Linked DNA regions of Drosophila melanogaster. The protein of the gene in region 2 interacts with the protein of the main gene of each other region in a pairwise test. Each region holds a gene or a part of one and is shown on either strand. Other genes may lie near its edges.

What was found. The genes of interacting proteins can lie anywhere in the genome.
Region 1: the proteins of Usp2 (region 2) and CG11286 interact in a two-hybrid assay, tested with the Drosophila melanogaster proteins (one large-scale study listed by BioGRID).
Region 3: the proteins of Usp2 (region 2) and Vti1b interact in a two-hybrid assay, tested with the Drosophila melanogaster proteins (one large-scale study listed by BioGRID).

What each region holds. Positions count from the first base shown.
Region 1 is NT_033777.3:7,769,861-7,773,548, forward strand, and holds CG11286 (uncharacterized protein), read right to left. Parts: upstream 1,897-3,688; 5' UTR 1,841-1,896; coding exon 1,533-1,840; coding exon of another isoform or gene 1,532-1,532; exon of another isoform or gene 1,474-1,531; coding exon 1,351-1,473; intron 1,292-1,350; coding exon 1,147-1,291; 3' UTR 1,000-1,146; downstream 1-999.
Region 2 is NC_004354.4:22,453,874-22,459,221, reverse strand, and holds the start of Usp2 (ubiquitin specific protease 2), read right to left. Parts: upstream 3,420-5,348; 5' UTR 3,359-3,419; intron 2,777-3,358; exon of another isoform or gene 2,663-2,776; intron 2,332-2,662; exon of another isoform or gene 2,031-2,331; intron 1,796-2,030; 5' UTR 1,671-1,795; intron 1,609-1,670; 5' UTR 1,463-1,608; coding exon of another isoform or gene 962-1,462; intron 1-961. Other genes in the region: wap (wings apart), read left to right, coding at 4,638-4,828, 5,032-5,348. UniProt on the Drosophila melanogaster protein: Hydrolase that deubiquitinates polyubiquitinated target proteins. Required for preventing the activation of the Toll signaling cascades under unchallenged conditions. Essential for bodily calcium homeostasis.
Region 3 is NT_033777.3:18,397,905-18,401,338, reverse strand, and holds Vti1b (vesicle transport through interaction with t-SNAREs 1b), read right to left. Parts: upstream 1,631-3,434; 5' UTR 1,548-1,630; coding exon 1,389-1,547; intron 1,329-1,388; coding exon 1,119-1,328; 3' UTR 1,000-1,118; downstream 1-999. Other genes in the region: Wdr37 (WD repeat domain 37), read left to right, coding at 1-512.

The DNA of each region.
Region 1 (3,688 bases), on a different chromosome or scaffold from region 2:
TTGAAAGCCCACTCGAGCATGAATTAGCGTCTATGGGATGACAGTTTCCAAGTGTTGGGGGCGCCGAAAAGGACGCAAGGATGTTCTTCAGTTTTTAATTTAATATCGGGTGATGCGTGAATTGGAGCGGAAAATATTCCTAGTTTGCTTAGCCTGAGCTAAATTCTTGCAAAATGATTAAATCCCTGTATCCTTGTGTCTAATGCCTGTAAATTGATAAGTCACATTGAAAACAAATATTTGATTTAATGACAGGCCTGAATGCATTCACAGCTCCGATTTCAAATTGTGAAACCTTTGCAAATTACCCTCGGCTGACCAGTTATTCATGGTTGTTTATTTTTTGTGGCCTATGCGAAAACCAAACAATAAATCGAAACTCTATTTGATTAATTTTAAAGAAGAAACTCAGCCAAGGGCATAACTGAATTAAAGAGCAAATTCACATGGCGTTTCTGGTCATTGTTCACTGCGTAAACATTTGTAAATTTGCTCTTTTTCAGGTGTATACACGGTGCAAACAAAACTCGACTGAACGGCTAAAAAATGGTCATAAAATAGCATTTGACAAATGACGCACTTCCTGTCAACGCACACAATCACAAACGCATACAATCACACACGCACACATTTATCCCTTATCGGTAACTTGTAAAAAGAGGTCGAAACAATTGCATTGCTTTTAAACATGAATCTGCTCACATAGTTACACAGTTTAACAATATAATAATTCATTGTTTGAATTTATTTATGAGCGCAGCTCAAATATTTAATATGCACAAACGGCAGTTTGTTTAAATGTAATTTAGTGGAATAATTAAACAAATGCGGATTTTATTCAAAACTATTTAGTTGCTGTCCGATTGACTAACCTTTTTGTAAACGAGATCCTATTAAAATTTAACAAGTAATCATAAAATACATTTTCTTACAGTTCTTACGCCAGCCATCCAATTTGTTAGCTCACTAACTTTGCAGCGAAATTATAAAAAAGGCTTTAATTGCATAATTAAATTTATTGGCTGTACAATTTTCCATAAGGTAATTTTATCAGTTTTGCAGAGAATAATTGCAAAATTAAATGAGCTAATTAAACCATTTCCAAGTGGAATAAAAAGGCTCATTTACTTTGCAATTGGATCAGTTTTAGCAACCCAGACTTAAATCCGTTTTCAACAGATACTCGACGCGACGTTTTTCCTTAGGAGGCAGTTGAAAGAATTTTGAGACAAAGTTATTCAGTTCCCTCTTTGTATGCAGTGGGGGCCACATTGTTTTATAGCACAGGATTCTAGAAAAGCCACGAAAGTCCCGGTTAATTTATGTTATCATTTCTAACTTTTAGCTTACTTCTTCAGGAAAAACTGGTCGCAGATATTGCGTTGATTGGCAATAATGTGCTCCATTTCGTGAAGGAACTGCCTATCATATTTCGCTTTGGAGTCCAGATACCGCACATAGCAATTAAGATCGCTGGAAATAATGGTGTGTCAGGAAACCTAAGTAACTCAGCAAGTTCTTTCTTAACTGACTACTGAAAGTGCTTTATATCGTAGCTGGGATGCAAACTGGCATCGGCCTCGTCGTGGAACTTGATCCTTGGCTCATACCACTCGTCGAGCTCCTGGAGACGATGGAACTCATATCGGGAAGCAAGTCCTGACAAGGAAACCAACGAAGTGGTCTTCGTCCTAGTCAGGAATTCCTCCACTTTCTTAGCCTTCTCCTGGGCCTTGGCCACAAACTTCGCGTTGAGGCGGTGAACTGGTACATTTTTACCCCGCAGGACATCTCCCGCTGAGGGGATCGACTTAATGGTTACAAGGCTCGTCGCGGACATGTTGAAAATTTGATACTGCTCTTGGGAAACTGGAGATTTTTGAGATATATTAAATGGCTTATTTATGCGGTGACTACTTTGATTCGACAATTAACGCTTTAATAAATACGCCACATAGTTGTCACCGTCAACAACATCTGAGTCCTTGGGGAATTATTGTTTTAAGCCGCTGGTGTTTATAAATATACATGGAAACAGCCGAGAACATCATGAGGATTCATCAGACGATATATGGAAAGGGGTCAGGCTGCTGTATTTTATTTACACGGCCATTCACATTGGCATTTCAAAAATCATTCATTAATTTTTTAATTCAACAATCAGGCTGGTTCAAAGTGGCGTGGAATAAAAACCAAAAAAGGAATCTCTGTAATAATATCACATGCAATTATTGCAGGCAATATGCATGCAATTATGCTAAAGGATATCCATTGTAAAAAAAACTTTGCAAGTGAGCCCGAAATAGAGTTGCGAACTCGAAAGTTCTCAATGCGATTGGATAGCCTTTGTAATTATGATGTCCCTAAAAAAATGAAAAACTAACAGGGCCCTGTTCGAACTTTCATTGACTTATTTGTACCCTTAATAATGGTCCCTCCTAATAATCTATGAGGAGTAGTGCGACTGCTAATCTACCCACATTTGCACCCATTATCCAGGTGTGGTCGAAAATTATTCTCAAAAAGATTCCACACATTTTCGCGCCATTAAACATGCATTCGCGCATTTAATTTCATTTTTTGAACCGCCCGAGTTGACGGAACAGAGCCATCAGCCGGACCACAAGAGTGGCCCACTGAAGGGGGAATAGGAGCTGCCGCCGACAGGAGAGTTGGCCAATGTTTGCACAGCAAAAACATGGCCCAAAACGCTGGGTCTATTAAGAGCACATTTGACCAAAGTCGGGGCTCCGGCACGTGTGCAATGAAAACAAACGAGCCCATTATTGTTACACTTTTCTTTGGCAACCGGCCGCAGAGACCATTAATGATGTGTTATGGCCTCAAGAGGCCGGCCTAGCCGATCCTTGAACTTTGGCCAGGCAGAGCCTGTGAATTGAACTCTAATTGCAGATAATGAATTGCTCGCATTAGGTCAACGAACAGTCGTCCGGATTGCCGCAAAGTGCCTAATGGAAATGCAATGAACTATTTATGGGCATAAGTAGCCAGCAATTGGCTGACTGAAGTTTGATCACGCACTGGGATTATTAATGCCGAGACAGGTCGACTTCCCTTTAAAGTGCTCATCTCATCAATTTGTGGATGTTTTCCCTTGGCCTTTTGGCCAACCGTCATTTTGGTCGCCACAAAATTGACAGCAGCTTTCCCACAGCGCGTAATGACAAAACAGTGACTAAAATGTTAACAACAAATCCAATTTATTTCACCGACCGGCCTACGAGGGACATTAATTACCAGATGGATCACGTATAAGGTATTAAATGCAAACTCAATCTGCCAATGGGGAAATGGCCAAATAACAGAGTGGTTGGTCAAATCTGGGCACACAAACTAACACAATCTGCTACTAATTCCCACAAACTGCATTTAAAGATAGCGGATTTCATTTAATAGAATGTGTTCACCGCCATTGATAATATTAATATAAATATAAATATAAACGTCATTCAGAAAAAGCGTTAAACAATAAACAATAAACATTGACAATGGTCGATGGTCAACGAGAGTGTAAACAACAAGATTTACTGCCATATGCTAGGGGATTACGGGTGTAATTGTACGCCACTTCGAAATGACATTGAACCAGACATGAAAATTGATTTTGGGCCTGATGCCGAGTCCATTACGGAAATAAGTTTGCTGAGCACTCGGACCATATTTTCAA
Region 2 (5,348 bases):
TCCCTAGATGATGCAAAAGGATTCACTTTGCTGCAACGAACTACGCGTCGATCCTCATCGATATCTGTGGATTTACGATGGAACCACGGTTTTCGCAGAACATTCAATGGTTTTTTGAATGTCCTTATATGTTTTTCCTTCCTTTCTTAGCTTAAGAATTAACATTCTTTTCTTCTGGGAGTAGTGCTGTCCTCTACCCACTAAAATATATATTTTTTATTTATTTTAATTTTTTGATCTTTTAAATATACGAATTAACTTAACCAAACACACTTTTTAGAAAATATTGATAATTTCGGGACTTTACGTTTGAGAAAACCAGACACTGCTATTTTAATGAACAGCCTAAAAGTTGTGAATTTGCTCAAGAATGTAAATAAAATAAGGAGAACACGAAAAACTAACGGGACTTTTTTTTTCTATCTAAACATTCCATTTTACAAAAAAAGGTGGAATAAAAGGTCGATCCCGAAAAGGGACATGGAAAAATACCGTTGTATTTCTTAGTTTCTCTTGCACTGCTATTTCTTTGAATGTACAAGTACTTAAAGCAACCATCAAATCGATTCAAATCAAGACATTATGTTGACCTTTAATGACATATTTCTAAATCGCATTGCAAATTATCTTTTAAGTGAATAGGATTTGATGTTTTTGACTATATTCGAATTAAACAACATAACATTAAACTTCATGCTACTGATTAACTGCCTTCACACCAATTTATCGAGCTTTCATATTGAATAAAATGCGTATTCACCAAATATGCAGATACATAACACATGATGATTTCGGGGATAAGGCAGTGAGTAGAGTTATACCAGGGGCCCAGCATACAGGATTCGCATAGAGATATTACTGAAAACCAAGAGATCAGCCACCAAACTTAAGAGTAATCGACCAGGAGTGGGTGTATCGTAAATCAAGGTACATCTTATGAGGTAAGCAAGGTGTTACTCACTCCGTATCGGCTGTACGTAGGTGAATCATAGCTGGACCCGCTCAGATACGAGGAGGTGCGGTAGGCGGACGAGCTGCTGCCGGATCCGCCGCTCATATACGACGTTGACGACGTGGTACCAACGCTGCTCCTCTGCACACTGGAGCGCGGCGCATACGAGGCGCTTGAGGAGCCGCTGTTGGCGGAGAACGTTGAGTAAGAGGTGGGATAGTAGCTGCTGCCGTAGCCCGACGAGTTGGAGCCGCCGGACGAGGTGGGCAGCCACTTGGACAGACTGCTGCCGCGGTCGTAGCTGCTCGATATGCGGGAGTAACCGTTCGTGGCGGCGCCTCCGCTGGTCCGATCCACCGCACCGCTTCCGGTGATGCTGATGTGGTGACTGCCGCTGGTGGAGTTGCTGCTGGTGGTGCTGCCGCTGGAGGTGCCGACCGCCGATGTACCGTAGAGACTGCCGCTGCCCGCCGCTGACGTTGACGATCTACGCGGCGCAATTACACGCATATTAATGGCAGCAGCGGCAGTGATCAAGCCCCGGGTTCCGGATGAAGTCGAGAGTGTCCTTGGTCTGCTGGCAGCACGTGGTATTGCTGAGCGGATGATTCCTGTTTTGTTTCCGGTCTTGCTTCGCTTTCTCTGTTTTTCGTGGGCTATACGGCGGAATTCAGTTTCATTAATGGAAATCACAGCGTCAACGTGTCCATGTACCCACCTGCGTCACGTTATTTACATTATCATCGCATTATATCCCTAGGATTAGGTTAGTTTTAAACTTAATGGCTGCATATGTGCTACATCTAAGACCCGTTCTTGTTGCTGCTAAAGTTGTAGGCGAAACTGAAAAGAATGGAATTTTAGAAGGCCCTATTTATCAAATTAATTCGAATTCAAAACCTCATACTAATCGGACCATAATATTCTAACTTCTTTATCAAAAATATACCCAAAAGATTGGAAAATGCCCAGTGTAAATGATCTAATGAGGGAACATCTTTTAATCAAAACCACATTTTTATGACGGTACTTTTAGTAGTGCAAACAATTCTAAATTGTCAAGACCTTGTCCGTTTACATTTGATTCACTTATTGGAGAAATGAAGGCTTGCAGGCGCAAGGTTATCTTGAATTCTGCATAAGATAATGCGAAACCCTTCAAGCGGAACTCCTCGTCTTTCTTCCCCTTCCCACGATTGATTTTTCACAAGCGCAAAAAACACCCACGCACATCTCGGGAATTTGTGGCCTTCGATTTGTCCCTGATGAACAGTTAGGCGGAGAGTGGAAAACCGATCGACACTTGTTTACAATCGCAAAATAGTAATAAATAGAGAAAAGCCGTTTTCAAGTTTGCCATAACAACAACTTCAGTGTGACGCTGGCTGGCTGAACTGGGTAGGGGCGGTGTGGGACGCGGACGGCTGTCCTTATGCGGTAACACTTAAAATGAAGTTACGTTCGTGTGTGTGCCGCCAGGCTGTCTACGCTCCCATTCGAGAAAACCGTTGCTTTTACATACATACATGCACAAGTGTAAGGCTCTGCGGGTGGTGTAGTGCAGGGGGATGGGAGAAGCGGGTGGTAGGCCTTAACTAACATAAGATGGCCACACTTTCACGAATCGATCTTTCGTTCATAAAATGCTACAACTACACTACAGCCCATTCACACACATTCACTTAAAAAAATTGAATTATCCAAGCTCACACAATCGCACGCGAGTACCCACAGGTGTAGCTGAACTTTTTCAACGGTTACCACGATTAGCCGCTTTCTTTAGACACAAAACTCATACATTCTTTGCACGTCAAAATCGAAATAATTGTGATAAAAGCAAAAACAATATATAAAACGAAACGAAATGAGATTCTATTTTTAAAAGGTGCACTCACACACGCGCGTACGTTTGGCAGTGAAATGTGTGAGGGAGAGGGGGCGAGCCAGGGTAGTAGTAAAACAGTGCCGAGATTGTGCGCGCGAGCGATGTAGCACTATTGGCTACACGGTCACACACACACACACAGGCGCCAGGCAGCGTACGAATTACGCAAAGTGAAATATCTTTCTCAAAATGGAAAGTGGAAAAGTGACGACGACGGCTATTAGGAATTTTTCATACATCCACGGAACACAAAAAATGTACAAAGGCAAATGCGTATATAAAGTGTATAAATTCATACTAAGATAGAAAACAAATGGGCGAGGGGATGGGTGGCGAAGGTGAAAATTTGACCGCAAAACGAACATCACGAGGCGAACGAGGTCGCGCTGCCGAAAGTCCCGTCTCTTAATGATATCCCACAAATTTTAACGCCAGCCAAGCGACATCATCGTTTTGCACCGCAAAAGGGCCTTTTTCCGGTCGAATTAAAGCAATTTTTTTTTGCACAACACAGAACTCACTTTTTAATCCTATTTTTTTTGCTAGTGTGGCCGCACGCCGAAACGAAGTCACCGTCACTAGATTTTGAAGATAGGTTAACTGTTCTTCGATAACTATCGAAGAACTATGCCTGATGCATGTATGGTTGGTGTACTTGCTAACAGATGAGCAGAGGCCTTCTTAATGTTCCATTTACACAGAATTCCATCATATGGGATTTGAAAAATATGCTTCAAACTTAATAGTTTTTGCACAAAACGCCAATCGAATTATATTTCCAGTTCCAGGGAAAAGATTTCTGGGTGGAAATAAACACACAACTTTCAATTCTTAATTAGACTAAAGTCAAGCCTAGAATATTATATATTACAGTTCAATATAATTTAATACAGAATTTTGTTTTAAATAAATAGTATTTTGTTTATCTGGTATATAACAATGATTTTGCACAAGGTATTTCTTATAGCTATCTGCGCGGTCACACTGTTTTTGTGTGAAAATTCTGTCGAAAAGAATGTATTAAAAGTTCTTTGAATACTAATTCCGTGTAATTCCGACCGTGCTGTTTCAGAAAACTGTGGTTGGATTGGAAACTTAACCAAATTATAAGGTAAAACCGGGGCAGCTTGCCCATCGAAGGACCGCCACAAACGAATTTTCGCGTCGCATTACGTTTTAGTGTTGCCACCTTATACGGAGTGCCGGGCACAATTCCACTTGCTGGCCAAACGGATGCGTTGCGGTCGCGATGTGCACGCCGTTGAATTAATTCCTTCGCCCTGTTGATTGAGTACAGTTCGACTTCTCCGATCGGTGTCCTCCAGACCTAAATTTCGCCGGAATAACGACGGCAAACGGACGGACGGACTCTAGTCGGAAAACGGGCGAGCTGGCAATACTGCCAGTGCACAAAATGATGTGAATCTCGGAAAAGAGGAAAGCTACAGGAAAAGCCAAGGAAAAGCAAGCCGGTAAAGTGTGCAAATGCGAGTGGCAAGCAAAGACCTTTGTTTCCCATTCCATGAAGTTTTCTTGAGTTGTCCGCTGCTGTGAGTGGTCATTATCAGCCATCATCATCATTGTCGTCATCATCACCAAAGGAGCTCGTCGTCATTAGGCCGGCCACCAGCTAAACGGCATTGAGAAAACTCAGCAGCACCTTGTCATCCAAGTCTTGATCTTCGTCTTGGTCTGGATATCCGTATCCAATCACACAGTTCAGGTGGGTTCTTGATCCAGACTCCGAATTCGAATACGAGTCCTAGATTCTCATGCTGATCCTTTTCCATATCTACAGTTATGTCCTCGACCGCCGGAAAGCGCAAGGAGATCTACAAATATCTCGCGCCATGGCCACTGTACTCCATGAACTGGAGTGTAAGGCCGGACAAGCGATTCCGGCTCGCACTGGGCAGCTTCATCGAGGAGTACAACAACAAGGTACAGATCATCAGCCTGGACGAGGACACCAGCGAATTTAGTGCTAAGAGGTATACCGAATATTTGTTTAGCTGATCCCTTCTACTTTCTGTTTTCATTTTATATTTCGTATATTATCTTTAAAAAATAATATAAAATGATAAGCAGTTTTGATATTATTGTAATCATTTTAAATATGAATAGTTATTTGGTTATACGAACCATTTTTCCGAAATCCCCTTCCTCACTGACAGATTATTTCTTCTTCAAATAGCACCTTTGATCATCCATATCCGACAACCAAGATCATGTGGATCCCGGACTCCAAGGGTGTCTATCCGGATCTGTTGGCCACCAGTGGCGACTACTTGCGGGTGTGGCGTGCCGGGGAACCGGACACGCGGCTCGAGTGCGTACTGAATAACAACAAGAACAGCGACTTTTGCGCTCCCCTCACTTCGTTTGATTGGAACGAGGTGGATCCCAATCTGGTGGGAACCTCATCGATAGACACAACCTGCACTATCTGGGGACTGGAGACCGGACAGCCGCACGCTCGCGTCTATGTGGCAGGACACGTGAAGACGCAAT
Region 3 (3,434 bases), on a different chromosome or scaffold from region 2:
GGCACGACCACGAGCTCACCCACGTGTCGGCACATCCCACCCAGCGCCTGGTGGTCACCGCTTCCAGGGACACTACGTTCCGTCTATGGGACTTCCGAGAGGCAATCCCAGCGGTCTCCGTCTTCCAAGGGCACACGGAAACGGTTACGTCCAGTGTGTTCGCACGCGACGACAAGGTGGTGTCCGGATCAGATGATCGTACAATCAAGGTCTGGGAGCTGCGCAACATGCGATCCGCCTTGGCCACCATTCGAACGGATTCCTCGGTCAATCGTTTGGCGGTCTCCACTGGTGGAATTATCGCCATACCGCATGACAATCGACAGATCCGACTGTTCGATTTGAACGGGCAGAGAGTCGCCCGATTGCCACGGACCAGTCGGCAGGGCCACCGACGGATGGTGTCGTCTGTAGCGTGGGCGGAGGAGCCGCTGCTGGACTGCGATCTCTTCTCCTGCGGCTTCGATCGCCGCGTTTTCGGCTGGTCCATCGTTCTTCCGAAGGACAATTGAAGGCAACTGAAGCGGAGAGCTGCTGCACCAAAGGAATGAGGAGGCGCAGCTCTGCGAAATCCCAAACATCTCTCGAACAAAGAAGCATCCCCAAAGCGATGCCCACATACTTACATATATGTAACCGTTTATCATAGATCAAGTATTATGCAGACATTGTTCAGGATGTTCTACTATCTCGTTGTCGCCCACTGAATGTAATTAACGTTGCTTTTTGCCAAATAGTCGTGGCATAGCGTGCTGCACGAACTACATATTATCATTGTTATAGCATACGTATGTATATGCGTTGGGACTGGGCTAAACTCTTCGGAGTGCAGAGCTTCCGATGTCCAGACCCGATTTTATCTGTGTTTTACTACCATAATACATATTATAGACGTCTAAGGCATTAACGCTTTAGCCAACATGAATAAACATAATCAACCACCCGATTCATCGCTGGGTATATCCTAAAACTGACCTTTTTGAATTGGAAGTGCATTTTAGTGGAGTATATACATTTATAAGCTTATTAACTAGGACAAAGAATTCGTAACGATTAATAGGTATATATAGTCCATCGCCTGTTTGGTGGTTACGACTTTGGAATAGAATGGCATTGGCTCACAGGTGAGCGAACTTCAGCACCAGCAAGCCGACGAGTATGCCCACCTCCAGAATGATAATCAGGATTAGGATGATCTTGTTGTAGAGCACCTCCCTGCTCAACTTCCGAATGATGACCCTCGATTTGGACAGATCCTGATCGGCGTCCTCCAGGCGGCGCGTGGTGCGTAGCAGCGACTCCCTCTGCTCGCCCAGTTCGCCGAGTACCTGTTGATGCGTAAGCGAGCATTAGTTAGCCCTGTTAATGGCTACTATCTGGGTAATTACCTCCGCCCCCATGTTCTCCGTTTCGATGGCAATCTGGTTGGATCGCTGGATACTGTCCGTCGTCCGCTGTAGCACGTCGTAGGTGCTGGCCGCGAGCTGCGCCTGCCTGCGCTCCTGGTCGCTGCCGCTGGGCAGCTGGCTATAGCCGGCGTAGGACATAATTTGGTAACAGCTTTTAATAAATTAAATGCGATGCAGTGGGAATATCAAAACAAAACAAAGGCAGAGTGTGGCCGTGGTGAGCGGTGCAGTGAAAACGCTATTTGGTAAGGTACTAACGCGTTGTGCGTGGAGCCACCTGTTAACACTTTATGCACTTTACAGCACTTAAAACAGTTGAAATTTAAAATGAAACTGTTACCAAATTAGCTTAATATTATTTTATATTCTAAATTCTAATTAAAAGTTTAAATTGTAAGAAGTGTTAGTTCAATTGGTTTTTTTTTGAGATTGGCTTCCTCACTATCAACAAGCACATCTAGTTACTGCAAAAATATCACATATTAATGGTGATTAATTGGGTGATCCTAAGAGTGATTAGGTTTTTGGAAACTGACCATTTTTTTGGTAGACACATGTAGCACTCGAGGATTTTGACTTTAGTACGGGTATTTGTCGATTTCTGATTTGCGATAACGGTCACCGATCATACATAGTTGGCATGCCCGCGCCGAGAGAGCCGCCTGAATTCACAGGGTGTGTGTGCTGAGTAACAGAGAGTGCGAGGCATTTCGAGGCGATCGCGAGATTTTCGAACCGAAGTCGCGGCAGCGAGTGCCAAATTTAAACGCAGTCGATCGCTGGCGGTGAGCAGACGTGTGCTGCGCTCCATTCAGATTCAGATTCGAATAAAGATACTCTCGCTCGGCAACAAACAAGTTCTAAATTTATCGCTCGCACTCGCGGGGAATCGAATCTGGTGTGTCTTTGACATAAAAAGCGTTTTCGGAGCTGTGAAGGTAAGCGAAAAACTCGAAAAAACTCGAAGCAACTGGAAAAACCCGGCGGGTTCGAGGTGTAAAAGCTGTGCCACGGGTTATCCACCCGTATATATCCCATATCCCCTGTAAACTAGCCATCCAAAGCACGTGCTTTGGCAGCAGGGAGTATGTGCAATTAAGCCCAATTTGAATGCACTTTGGCACGTGATGCTGGCTGCTGACAGCTACTGGTCGGAAAAGTGAGCTTACTGGGGGCTGCGGGGCACACCTGTCATGGGACCCATTGTGCAAACACCTGCCAGAAGTCGCAGCTAAAGTCAGAGCGGCAGATACGCGTAGCGCTATCTCTTTCGTAAGCCCCGAGTATCTCTGAGATACTCAGGTACGCACCTACTACGTTCGCAGTGTGTGTGTGTGTTAGTCGAACCCTTGTCATGTGAATATAATACTCTCCAGAGTATCTGTGAGTCGCGCTCTCTTTGCAAAGTCGCGAGTTTTCGAGTTTTATGCAATCATCATAATCATATGGGGGGGTTCTATCATGTGATCTTTTTCTCGGGGTCTCGGTTTCCAGAAGCCTTGCGTCCCCACAAAGATCTCCAGCTGGAACGGAAACCCTAAAAGCTGGGCTCGAGTAGTTGCGAATAGCGCACAATAAATACCAGTCGATTATGATTTATGGATCGCTCTATAAATTGTCCAATGGCACTTCCAATCGATCAATCAGTATTGCGCTGATTAGCCACAGTCGCAGACCCAGTTTATGAATGGGGAAAATCTGATCGATTCTAGAAATCTAGCAATTTCACATCTGAAGTATAGTATTTTGCCGAGTTGCACACAAGTGCTCCTGGTCGATCGTCCAGTTAATTAGCTATATAAAGCCAAAGCCCGGCCACTCGAGTCGCCGATCTCCAGTTACGTAACTCTATATGTATGGCTTATCGGGGAAGTGGTCGGCAAACACTGCAAATAATGCTGACTTTGATGGCTTATTTTTCTGTATTCAATAGTATTGCGTAAAGAGGCTATTTATAAGGAGTTGATACTAGCCGATTTATTAGCTGGCTCCTGTTTTACAGCTCTATATAATTTTGAATTCCCC